Cricetulus griseus: one gene and its partners. The protein of the gene in region 3 interacts with the protein of the main gene of each other region in a biochemical or structural test. Links are inferred from orthologs where the notes say so. Each region holds a gene or a part of one and is shown on either strand. Other genes may lie near its edges.

Region 1 (3,647 bases), on a different chromosome or scaffold from region 3:
AGAGGGCAATAAAGTATATGGAGGCATCCTGGAGCATTTAACCATAGTTTGTTCTAAAATCTACTTGGAGTATTTTTTGTAGGCTGTGGAGTAGAAACTCCACTGTCATGCTGATTTATTTCCCAAATTATATTCTATTTAATCAGATTTGTTGTATTCTACATCTATAAAAATTAGTAAGTTCACATACAAAATCTATGACAATCCTTATTTACCAGAAAAATTAACCATAGTATCCACCATTCAAAAATAACACTGGATTTCTTAAGAACTAATATTATGTACCAAAAGCCTGACTAGAGAGAAAAGTTATTTTAAAACCTTTCTACAAACTTCTTCCATAAAAGTTCTATCTCTATTTATGTCAGATTCATGACTTTGAACACTTTCATTCAGCATAAATCTAAGAATTCAGGTCAAATCTAAAAACCAGTAACAACAACATAACCCCACTGTTACTAAGTTTTGGGAAATACAGCATACATAATTGTAAACTACACCACGAACAAAGCTGGCTGTAAGCTTAGGTACCAGGTAGAGGGTAACCGTACACCACCACAAGTGGGAATTCTAAGTCACTTACCAAGTTATGATTTGTTGAATTAGAATCATCTTCAGGGAATGGGATGTAAATAGCTAAGGCCACACAATTGGCAAAAATAGCCAATAATATAAATATGTCAAATGGTCTGAAAGTTTTTGTTAAGGAATATATGCATTATGCAAACATCAGACATCTCTCTTTATCACATCCCCAATCAGGCACACAGGAATTGTTTTTAAAATGAAAGTCACCCACCCATCACCCACCACCCATCCCCTTACCCACGTATATATGGTTCTGTGACTACTGGGTTTGCAGCAGAAGTAACTTTCTCTGCTCCCCTCATAGTAAGTTTTCTATCCTGTGACCTCCTCTCAGCCTTTTCTCCTACTGCAAGATCTACTCCTTCTTTTGATGCACACTGTGTACTAAAACCTGGAAGTAAGGAGCATCTAGTTAGGTCACTGTGTAGAGTATGTCTCTGCTTTCTGTGGTTTAGAAAGTGACAAGGAAGGACCTTACTAAACCAGCTGTCATAGACACAGAAAGGTAACCATTATGACAGTGACCTCTCTCCCACAGATCCTTGCCACCATGATAGAGCCATTTTCTCAGAGGCTATTCCTGGCTAGTCATTCTAAACTCCTGATGGGGACCAGTCCAGGCAAAGCCCCTGGGACTAGCTCTATCTTCTCTGTGATCCTGTGTAACACATCCCGGCACCTCAGATGCTATGATAATCAGGCTGCCAGCTCCCTGCTCTGCCTTCTCTACCAGAGTAATCAATAACTATAACTGTTTCAGATTAGAGCTGGACTCCACTCACTTCATAATGTGCTGTTTCTGTCTTCAATTTATAAACAAATTAAATTTAAAAGCCACCAGAAATCAGCACCAGACACTTTCAAAACAGGCTCTAAACAAGTTCAAATCTCGGAGGGCTGTCTGGAAGAGTCATTTTGAGAGGAGCCTTCAACAGACACTTGCTTAAGCATCTGTTAGTAAGAGGTATTGTCAAAATTGGCCACACAAAGTTTGATATCTGCCCAAATCAGCAGATTATTTGAGAAATACCTAATGTGCAATTTCCTGGGCTTGAATTCCAACTAGGCCCATGTATAACACTCACCCACAAGGCAAACCCCTCTGGGTGCTAAAGATTTAGGGGTAGGAACAGTCTCTTGTTGATGGCCTTCTGGGGACCCCCAAGGTGATGCAAGAAACAAATACCTCTTGCCTGTCAGGAGGTAGATAACTCCCTGTTCTATAAAGCCTCACCCCTTTGAAGAGCTCGGATAAGTCACTGGAGTAAGGACAGGAATAGCATTATCCTCTTACTAACTTTGATGGGTTTATTTTTAAGCCAGTTAGCTTTAATCATATTGATTTCTCAACTCCGTTATAAAATCTTTTACCCAGGGATCTGACTTTAGGAAGACTTCAGAATTCTCTTTTCATTTTTTTTCTCTTTGCAGGTCCCCTCTGACACTTTAAGTCAACAGCCCTGAAGTCATTTCCTATAAAGACACACATAGTACTTCCCCTCCCCCACACCATCTTTCTTCCTCTCCTATTTCTCAAAATACCTAAAATGATAAACCTGAAAATATGAGAACTACTAACACTGCTCAGGAAGGCTAAATGTAAGACTCTGAGGTGTTTCTTTCTTGGCAGAGCTCTAGTTCCAGTCAACAGACAGTAGAGGATATCTTGCCACTACAAGAAACTGGCGGGTCTGAGCCCTTAGCTTCTTAAAGGGGAACATCTAGCCCCACCTCCACCCCCTTACCAGCCTAGAACAACCAACTGGATTCTCTCTGGGCTAACTGGACCTGACTAGACTGCTAAAGAAGGATGTCTATAACCTGCTCCCTAAAATGCAAGGGGCCATGTACTATCTAACTGACACAGAAACTGTCCCATTATATACAGACATTCTCCACTGGCAGCAGTGTCTCCTAAGCCCTGCACACATACTTGCATCTAGCAACTCAAGAAAGGGAGCTAGTGGTGAGATCCAGGAATTCATTCTGACATCTAAACTGCTATGTGCAAACTCCTGTGCACAAAGGGAAACAGCACCTCATCCCACAGAAAATGAATGACTCCACTCAGAGGTCTCTGCTCACTCAAATCACCTCACACCAACCTCAGAAGGAGGATGTGTTTCCAGCAAGTGTATGCTGCCTCTCCATTCCAGTGAGACCACCTCAGCACATTCTAACTTAGCAGCCCCCTCTTGGCCTATACAAGAGTTCTGTCCTCAGACTAGAGAATTTAAAGAGAAAATGCACACCCACAGCCCTAAGTATGTGAGAGACGCCATAACTCACTCTAGAGGAGAGACATCTGTGCTAAAAAGAAAAGCACGTGAAAACCTTCATATCCTGTCCTGGCATTCAGCTGCTCTCTCTAAAACCTTTCTAGACAGTTGCTACATTTTAACTCCTGTCCATGAGCAGACAAAATAAATGTGCTAAGATAGAGACCATGCAGACAGCTGCCTCAGTGGGAACCTAGATTTTTTAGAGGCCTTCAGCCCCACTTTCTAGCTGGCACCCAGCAATCTTACAACATGGCTTCTCCCTCCCCTCAGCCTAATGAGGAAAGCTTCATGCACACACCCCTGCCTGCTGCCAGGAAATGCTCAGAGGACCTGTCGGCCACAAACACCCTTCTGGGAAAAGGGAATGCTTTGTTTTACCCAGCCCAAAGAAGCATGTGAGTAATTAGAAAGCATGTGCTCAAGAGAAGACTTCAGCTAACCTTTGTAGGTGGTGAGGGAGCCTGGCCCCCAGACCTGGGGAGGGGGACAAGCAGGTAGAAGCAATATTATTTTCCAAGATCTGGGGCATGGCAACCATCCTGGGGGCAATCAAAGTTCAGTTTTTAAAAATACAGAGACACCCAGAAATGTAACTTCAGTCCAGTCTAAGTATACAGTTGGATATATATACATACACATGCACAGCACCTGCCAGTTCCTCCCCTGAGAGAGCTGACTGTCACTCACAGGGCTAGAAGGAAGAGGCACTCACCAGTGCCCCTTGCACAGCTTCTGTCACTCGTGGCTATATGGCTTTGTTTTTTGTTTGTTTGTTTG
Region 2 (3,647 bases), on a different chromosome or scaffold from region 3:
ATGACTTTGATCTACTGGAATAGGTACAAAGTGTTTTATGTTTGGTGAGCAACCCTTTGTGGCATCTGAGTGATTCCCTTTCCCCATGACTCCTGTATAGGAAGCGGCCCTCTGCCGACAGCTCCCCATGGAAGAGACCATGGCCTCTGTCAACCCACCTGCCATGACCACGGATATGAGGTCCATCACCAATAATAGTTCAGATCCATTCCTCAATGGGTAAGTTCACACTGGGGACCATTGACTGTTGCTTTCTGGCCTATGGTTTAGGCTGTATTGGGGTGTTTGTTTACATGGAGAAAAGGCAGGGTTCTTGAGGGATGGGGAGAGTTGGGGAGAGCTGACAGAAGAGAGAAAAAGGAAGCTTTTAAAAAAATTTCAATTTCAAAACCTAGTCACATGACATTGAGTATGTCCCTCAGTGATTTGCACATGAGGATGAACTTTCAACAGGACAGTGCTATTTGGTAATCACTTGTAAGCATCTTGACATTCTTGGGAGTAAGTAAGGGTGAGGTTAAAAGCATGCCATAGCAAATAGAACAAGAAAAGTCAGAAGAATTTATGGTGAAAAGTGAATAAGGTTTAGAGTTTTGTTACTAGTGTTAATTTTCTGCTCTGATGATGAAAACTGTTTCTAGGGAGCCAGGTGGGAGGTACGTAAAAACTACTTTCTTCTTGCATGTTGGTGTGAGTTTTACATTATTGATTAATTAAGAATTAATTAAAACAGAGATGTTGGCTTTAAAAGAGAAAGAAAAGTGGTTGACTTAGCCAGAAGTATCTGAAGGATAGAAAGTCAACCTTAATTGTATACCTCATGGGAGCGGGCATTGTGTTTCTGCTCTTACCAAGGCTCCTGGCATGCAAATGCAAATGAAGATAGAGGTGAAAAAGCAAGTAGCCAAAATAATGAATGAATGGATTTTTTGAAGTGGTTTATTTTAAAGAATAGAAAAATATAAAGAAAACTGAGGTACCATCCAGGCTTGTTATATTTCAAGCACTGTTTGAGCCCATCTCTACACCACTAAGTTTCTTTCTTCCCTTCATTCTTTCCTCAGGCACAGCCACTCTTCAGAAAGTAGTGTGTGGCCATCACAGTTTACTTTGCTATTTTTCTGGATCCCTTTTCCCTAGCCTCTTGTGTGCTGGGATTGTAGGCATGGCCCACCATGACTGGCTACATAATACTTCTTTTACCATTAATGAGTATATCTATGATCATTATTCAGCACTAATTTTTTTCTGGTTTTTAAATTTCACTTAAGTAGGATCATGTACCATAATCTGTACTTAGAATAGGGTTAAATGGTTATTTTATTCCTTCACTCCTTAAGATCAGGTTATACATCTGAAAATTAATGGGCCCAGTAGAATTTTCTCCCTTTCATTGACTAAGTTCTGTGGCTGCATCTTTACTGTGATCTTTATTTAGTGGACTCATGTTAAGGTCTTCACGTTTATTTATTTATTTATTTATTTATTTGTTTGTTTATTTCTCCGTAGAGGGCCTTATCATTCAAGGGAGCAGAGCACAGACAGTGGTCTGGGCTTAGGGTGCTACAGTGTCCCCACAACTCCAGAAGACTTCCTCAGCAACATGGACGAGATGGACACAGGTGGGCTCCCAGCCTGCAACTATCTGCAGTGTGTTTTCATTTTCAGATTGTCCCCTTGGTTATTGCAGTCCTAAAGTCCAATGGGAATCACAAACCCTGAACATAAAACGAAAGCTAAAAGCCCACTCAATGCACAGGCACTACTACTTTTCAGGGCTCATGCAAATATGACTTCATAAGGGTGTGGGCTTGTAAGACCCAACCCCCATCCAATTTAGTGTTGTACCTCCTTTTAGTTGTAATGAATAGTCCATGCTTTCCACTGGGATTTATACTATTGTTGGTTCTCTGATTGTGTTGACCTTTTCATGTTACTTTCTGGTTTGGGGAAGGACTAACAGTAGGTTTAGCTGGCAACCCAGAGGACTCTAATTGTCAGCTCTAATTTCTAACATAACACCTCCTTCAACAATTGACAAGAAGACAACCAGGTTGACTTTTGTAGTCCCAGCCTGTGCATCCTATAGAGTAGACATGTCCAAACTCCTGGGATTGGAACATGGCATTGTCATCTGCTAAGTTCACATTTGAGACCTGCAGAGCTGGAGAGATGGCTCAGTAGGAGCAGAGGAGCAGAGTTCAAATCTCAGCACCCACATAGCAGCTCATAACTGCCTGTAACTCCACACGAGTGTGTGTGTGTGTGTGTGTGTGTGTGTGTGTGTGTGTGTGTGTGTGTGTGTGGTGGGATTTATTTTGCTTCCTTGAAATAGCCTCATGAGGTGGTTCCTTCTGATGCTGTTTACTTTCATTTTTTAAACTCTGGGAATCCAGTAAGGGTAAAAAGCAAAATTAAATAATTCGAGAGGGGTGGGCACCCCAGGAGACATTAAAAAGATTCATTCGCTCTTATAGGTTTCTAAAATAATGTCCAGTGGGCAAATGGGGAGTGCTTTTGAAGTCATAGTACACAATTAAATGGTATCTTGAAAAGAACACAGGCAAAATTCAGCCTGAGTTGAACCTTTGTTTCTCATTCTGTGGTTCTCTGTGGAAGCTCTGTGGGCCTCAGCTTCTCACCAGTGAAACGAGAATAATGTCCCCACTTCTGCCTCTCCATTGAAGAAGGCTATTGAAATGGATTTGATAAACACTGTGGTTCCTTTTAATCTTGTCAAATGAGTGTCAACTCATTGAGTTCATTGCCACCTCTGTGAGATGTTTGTAAGAAATGGGCATAAACTGCTAAAGAGTTGTATAATATTTAGTAATGCTTAGTAATTAACTGAGGGCAGGTGGAGCTCAATGGTGACTAAAAAAGATTGTTGGATCTGCCAATCACATTGACCACTTGCCCAGTAGCAAGTCGGCTGAGAACCCTCCCCCTTTGCAACAAACACATCCAGCTGAAGATTGAACAAAGGAATAGTAACATAATAAGCAAAGGCTGGGCAGTCACTCATCCTTCCAGAACGTTCCATGAAAATCATACCTCTGGAAGAATTACCCCCCCTTTTTTTTCCTTAAGTGATGAACTTAGTAGCTAAAAAACGACAAAGATTTAAAAAGACCACAATGACACTGTAGAGTCAAAAGAAATACTTTGAGATTGTTAACCTTGATGAAGAAGATTGACTTGTCAACTCATGCTTTCATTTCTGCTGAGAAAGAATAGGAAGAATTCTTTTAAAAGGAGATTTTGTTTGGCTAAAATACATATTCTCAGAATTAGGAGATCATAATGAGATTTTGAACTGTTAAATTTTGTGCATGTGTGTTCCCGTGTGAGTTTGTATGTACCACATGTGTGCAGGTATTTGGAGGCCAGAGGGCATCCGATTTTCTGGAATTGGAGTTACAGGTGTTTGTGGGCTGCTTTGTGGGTGCTGGGAATTGAACTCAGAACGTCAGAAAGAGATCTTAACTGCCGAGCAATCTCTCCAGCACCTGTAGTGATAACTTTAGCAGATAGATGACACAACCTTGGATGTGGCAGACACTGTGTTTCTTTATTCCAGTCTGGGCAGAAGACCCTGTGATCCCCATTTCCAAGTAGTAAAAAGAGAATGAGAAAAGTTAGTGTAC
Region 3 (4,414 bases):
GTTTCAATGTACAATCCACAAGAAAATAATTAAAACATCGTGGTTTGGGGGAGGCAAGATGGCTTACTCGTAAAGGTACTGGCAGCCAAGCCTGCCAACCTGAATTTGATCTCCAAAACATGCATGAGAGGAGAAAACTAAGCTCTAGAAATTATCCTCTGACCTCCACGTGTGAGCAATAACATGAACATGCCATCTCCACCCCACCACCAGTCACACACAGTAATAAATAAATAATGCAATTTTAAAGAGATAACACAGGAGCTAGAGAAATGCCTTAGCTATTCAGAGCACTTGCTGCTCTTACAAAGGACCCCAGTTCAGTTCCCAGGACCAACCAATGGCAGGTAATTCCAGTTCCAAGGGGATCTGGTGTTTCTAACTTCCTTGGGTACCTGCATTCTCATGTGCATACCCACACACAGACATACACATACACAATTAAAAATAAAATAAATCTTTAAAAAAAGATACAGTGGGATTTTTGCACGGTTTTTGCAGTGTGACTCAATTCACACCTGTCACATGTACAAAAGAGTTGCACATGGCCACTGTGGATGGCACAGGTAGCGAGGGGAAAGGCGTGGAGGGGAGGGAATAAGTGGGAGGATGGTGTGGTGCAGAGGAGCTTTGGGAGGCGGGGGAGAGGGGAATTCTTTCCATTGAATGTCAAGACATTGTTTCCCTCTGGCCACATCAGCCTCCTAACTTCCTCACAGCTCCTTGGGGACCAGGGCAGACACAGGGGAGATATCAGCCAAGGTCTGGAGGGAAAGAACCCAACAGAATAAATGTGTCTGGCAAGGCAAGGCAAGGCAAGGCAAGGCAAGGCAAGGCAAGGCAAGGCAAGGCAAGGCAAGGCAAGGGAGAGTCTGTGCTTGATGGAGACACAGGCTATAGGCCTGGGGCACTGTGGTGTCTATGAAATACTCCCTAGGCAGGAGATGGACTGAGGTAGGGTAAAAGAAGGGCCCTAAGTGCTTCTGAGCAGAAAGGCAGAATTAAAAGAATGGGGTGAGCCGGGTGCTGGTGGCGCACACCTTTAATCCCAGCACTCGGGAGGCAGAGGCAGGCGGATCTCTGCAAGTTCGAGACCAGCCTGGTCTACAAGAGCTAGTTCCAGGACAGCCTCCAAAGCCACAGGGAAACCCTGTCTCAAAAAACAAAAACAAAAACAAACTAAAAAGAATGGGGTGAAGGGCTAGGAGTAAAGTGCTTGTCCCGCAAGCATGAGACCCTGAGTTTGTCTCCCTAGAACCCACATAAGAAAGCCAGGGGTGATGATGGTGTGCACTTGTAATGCCAGTACTGGGGAGGTGGAGACAGGCACATCCCTGGGGCTTCCTGGTCAGCTAGTCTGACCTACATGGTGAGCCTCGGACCAGTAAAAGACTGTCTTAAAAATAAGGTGGGGCCAGTGAGATAGCTCATCAGGTAAAGGTGCTTACCACCAGGCCTGGCCTGACCACCTGAGTTACATTCCCAGGACCCATATGGTGGAAAAAGAAAATTGACTCCCCCAAAATTGTTCTCTGGCCTCCACGTGTGCACCCATCCACTCACTCCACCGCCGCCACCACCACCTCCCTTACAAATGCACACAACAGGCACAGATGGCATTGGTCTGGGCAGGACAGGACACAGAGGGAAGTGGGGAGGGGTTACGATGGAGACAAACAGGCATCTCCAAACAGGATTCAATGTTAAATGGAGGACTTGGTGTAACTGAGGAGTTGGCAGAGGGGAGGGTTTATGGGCAAAGACTGGAAAAGAAGGCCATGGACAGAGTGCTCTGGGTGCAGCGTGGCACACCCAGGGGAGGTACTCTCACCTTTGTGTGCAATTTGGCCAGCTGTTTCTCATCCAGGTTGGTCTGTTTATAGACTCGGGTCTTGTAGCGGAACTGAGACCAGGAGTGGAGTATGAAGAGACACAGACTTGTAATTAGATTCTTTGTTGGGGAATAATGTCTGATACTCCTCCCTTCCTCCCAGATGAGTTCAGGGTTAGCATAGAAATGGCCCCTGTAGGGCGACTTTTCCAAGAGTACTAGATCATCAAGGTCTGTTGAATTATAACCCCTATCTTGCAAGTGTAACCCACACACGGAATGTTCTAGAATGACTACTGTAGCTGGGATTCCTGTCCAGCTGATGGCATAAGGAAGGGAAGGAATGCCATCTGAGGCAACTCAGCTGGTGATTTGGACTCAGGATCCCATGAGTTCTCGGGACATCTTGAAGAGCCCACTGGGGTTCTCTTGGCATCAGAGTGGACGTGTTCCAGGGCACGACTTCTGTTAAGTGTTCTGGAGCCTCACCTCCAGGTAGGGTACCCCTTTCTCAAAGGACTGGGGGTACTCTCTTAGCAGCCTCTCCTCTTCCAGGAAGTTGGCATCCCGGCCTGAGGTGGCCGGCTGGAACAGTCCGTAGTTAAGCACATCCTGTAAGCTCTCACTCAGGGCACAGAGGACTTGCTGTTTGGCTGTCCAGATGGTGGCATCAGGGTTGAAACGCAGGCATTTCTGGTGGGAGATAGGATGGCCAGGTTGGGTTAATTGTCTGAGGGTTGAGGGTAGGTTGAAAAAGGGGTAGAGCCGGGAGTAGGGGTGGGGAAATAGCCTTGGTCAATGTGGCTGTCAGCTGACTCACCGTCTGGTGCAAGTCAGGGATGCCAATCCTGAAAACCATCATGCTGAAGTGGGCGTCGTCTGGGACAGACATGGAGCGTCCCTGGAGGCCTCGGGCAGAGGCCAGGTTACCAGGTGCTCCACTGCCCCGGCCCCGGGTCCCCTGGGGGCCTCTCCCTGGCCCGTCTGGGGAGCTGTCGGATTCTGAGCCCCCCTCGGGACACTCGCTGGCACTGTGGCGTTCCTCGTCCTCGCTTGTCGCGGGGCTGTGGGTCATCGTGGGGCCACGGGGCGACGGGGGACAGCAGCATCACAGGCAGCTGGGCAAGGCAAAGGTGACCCTCAGCATAGTGCCACTCAGAAGCTACCAATACCATTCAGTGACAGGCACCGTGGCAGCCTGTTCCCTCTGCCTTGGGAGGCAAGGGAGAGTAGGCGTACCCTCAGACCTCTGCACAGACAAGCTCACACCACCTCTTCAGCCTTCTTGGTACCCTTCTCCTCCCTGTCCTTGGCCCCGCTTGCAGCCCCCACCCCCCTGCGCTCCACTTTGCTGCTGACCCAGTGTGTCCCAGAAATCACAGAATCACCACGGGAGCTACTGGCCCACTTTGTCAAGCCACAGAAAATGAAGCTAAAATTAGCTAAGGACAGACAGGTGGACCAATCCACCCCGGCATCCTGCCCTCCTGGCCAGAGCCTGGCCTCTTCACCCCAGGGAGGTTGAGAATGACTTTTATAGTAAAGGCGAGATGGAGGTGTGAGTTTTGAGCCTGGGGCAGCAGGAGGTGCCCGAGAGCTGGTGACTTCACTGAAGTGTGGCTGACCACATGTTTGGAGGGCTGCTGCTGGGGAATGAGCTGTCCCTGGAGGGGATCAAGGGACACAAATGTGGGTGGATGTGCAGAAAAGAGAAGTTCCCCTGAGCTGTGCCCAAGGGACCTATGAGAGGTTACTGGGGCATGTGAAGAGGATATGTGGGTGGATAAGGAGGCTGGCCCTGGCTGGACCGTCCAGGTGACAAGCTGTGGTGGCCTGGGTGGGTGTGGGCAGCTGTGGATGACCTGTGGGTGTGTTTCAGGACTGGCACAGCAGGGTGGGTGGGTTGGCACTGTTTGGCACTGGTGGCTCCACCGAGGAGAACTTGGATTGGGTGGGGAGGCTGGGGAGGAGGCTAAGAAGTAACTGCAGCAATATGGGGGACCAGGCGATGGGGAGGGTCGTCCCTCTCAAGGTGGCCTACTGAGGGGTGGCTCCTTTCCAAATGCGGTCCTTCTCTCTCCTCTTCACCACCCCCCACTCCCCACTCTAGAACCGGAAAGCAGAATGTCTGGTCTGGTCCCTCCCACCCCACACCAGGCCCGGCTCCTGCACCGTTGCCATGGAGATGGGAAGCAGTGGAGGGTACTGCTGACTTTGGGGGAGTGGGGATGGGCTGGGGGGAGGAGGGTTGGGGAAGGAAAACGAAATGTTTAAGGAAGAGAGTTCCAAGAACTGTAGGCGAGCAGGCGTCTAACTGCGGGCTGAGGACCCCTCCCCCTCGTGGGGACCGAGCTCCGAAGTGCCCCCTCCCCGCGTCAGGTATCTGGCCTGGTTGCCCCACCCGTCCGGCTCCGGAGGAGACTCCGGGCCTCCAGCTCAGTCCGCTGATTGCCCTACACCACCTCCCGACTGTCAGTGTGACCTCAGCCACTCCCCCTCAGCTGACCCTGGCTGACATCCCCTCTGCAGCCCCAGCTCTACAAGAACTGGGTGGCAGGTGGGATGAAAGGTCAGCAAGGGCCG

Evidence for each region.
Region 1: the proteins of Shank1 (region 3) and Cacna1d interact in a biophysical measurement, tested with the Homo sapiens proteins (2 studies listed by IntAct, with this or other methods). The link is inferred for Cricetulus griseus from reciprocal best matches to the Homo sapiens genes SHANK1 and CACNA1D.
Region 2: the proteins of Shank1 (region 3) and Wwtr1 interact in a test that uses a peptide from one of them, tested with the Homo sapiens proteins (2 studies listed by IntAct, with this or other methods). The link is inferred for Cricetulus griseus from reciprocal best matches to the Homo sapiens genes SHANK1 and WWTR1.

What each region holds. Positions count from the first base shown.
Region 1 is NW_023276807.1:189,385,488-189,389,134, reverse strand, and holds part of Cacna1d (voltage-dependent L-type calcium channel subunit alpha-1D), read right to left. Parts: intron 690-3,647; coding exon 584-689; intron 1-583. UniProt on the Homo sapiens protein: Voltage-sensitive calcium channels (VSCC) mediate the entry of calcium ions into excitable cells and are also involved in a variety of calcium-dependent processes, including muscle contraction, hormone or neurotransmitter release, gene expression, cell motility, cell division and cell death.
Region 2 is NW_023276806.1:93,981,199-93,984,845, forward strand, and holds part of Wwtr1 (WW domain-containing transcription regulator protein 1), read left to right. Parts: intron 1-100; coding exon 101-219; intron 220-1,509; coding exon 1,510-1,622; intron 1,623-3,647. UniProt on the Homo sapiens protein: Transcriptional coactivator which acts as a downstream regulatory target in the Hippo signaling pathway that plays a pivotal role in organ size control and tumor suppression by restricting proliferation and promoting apoptosis.
Region 3 is NC_048599.1:153,179,669-153,184,082, reverse strand, and holds the start of Shank1 (SH3 and multiple ankyrin repeat domains protein 1), read right to left. Parts: upstream 2,907-4,414; coding exon 2,652-2,906; intron 2,525-2,651; coding exon 2,321-2,524; intron 1,904-2,320; coding exon 1,832-1,903; intron 1-1,831. UniProt on the Homo sapiens protein: Seems to be an adapter protein in the postsynaptic density (PSD) of excitatory synapses that interconnects receptors of the postsynaptic membrane including NMDA-type and metabotropic glutamate receptors via complexes with GKAP/PSD-95 and Homer, respectively, and the actin-based cytoskeleton.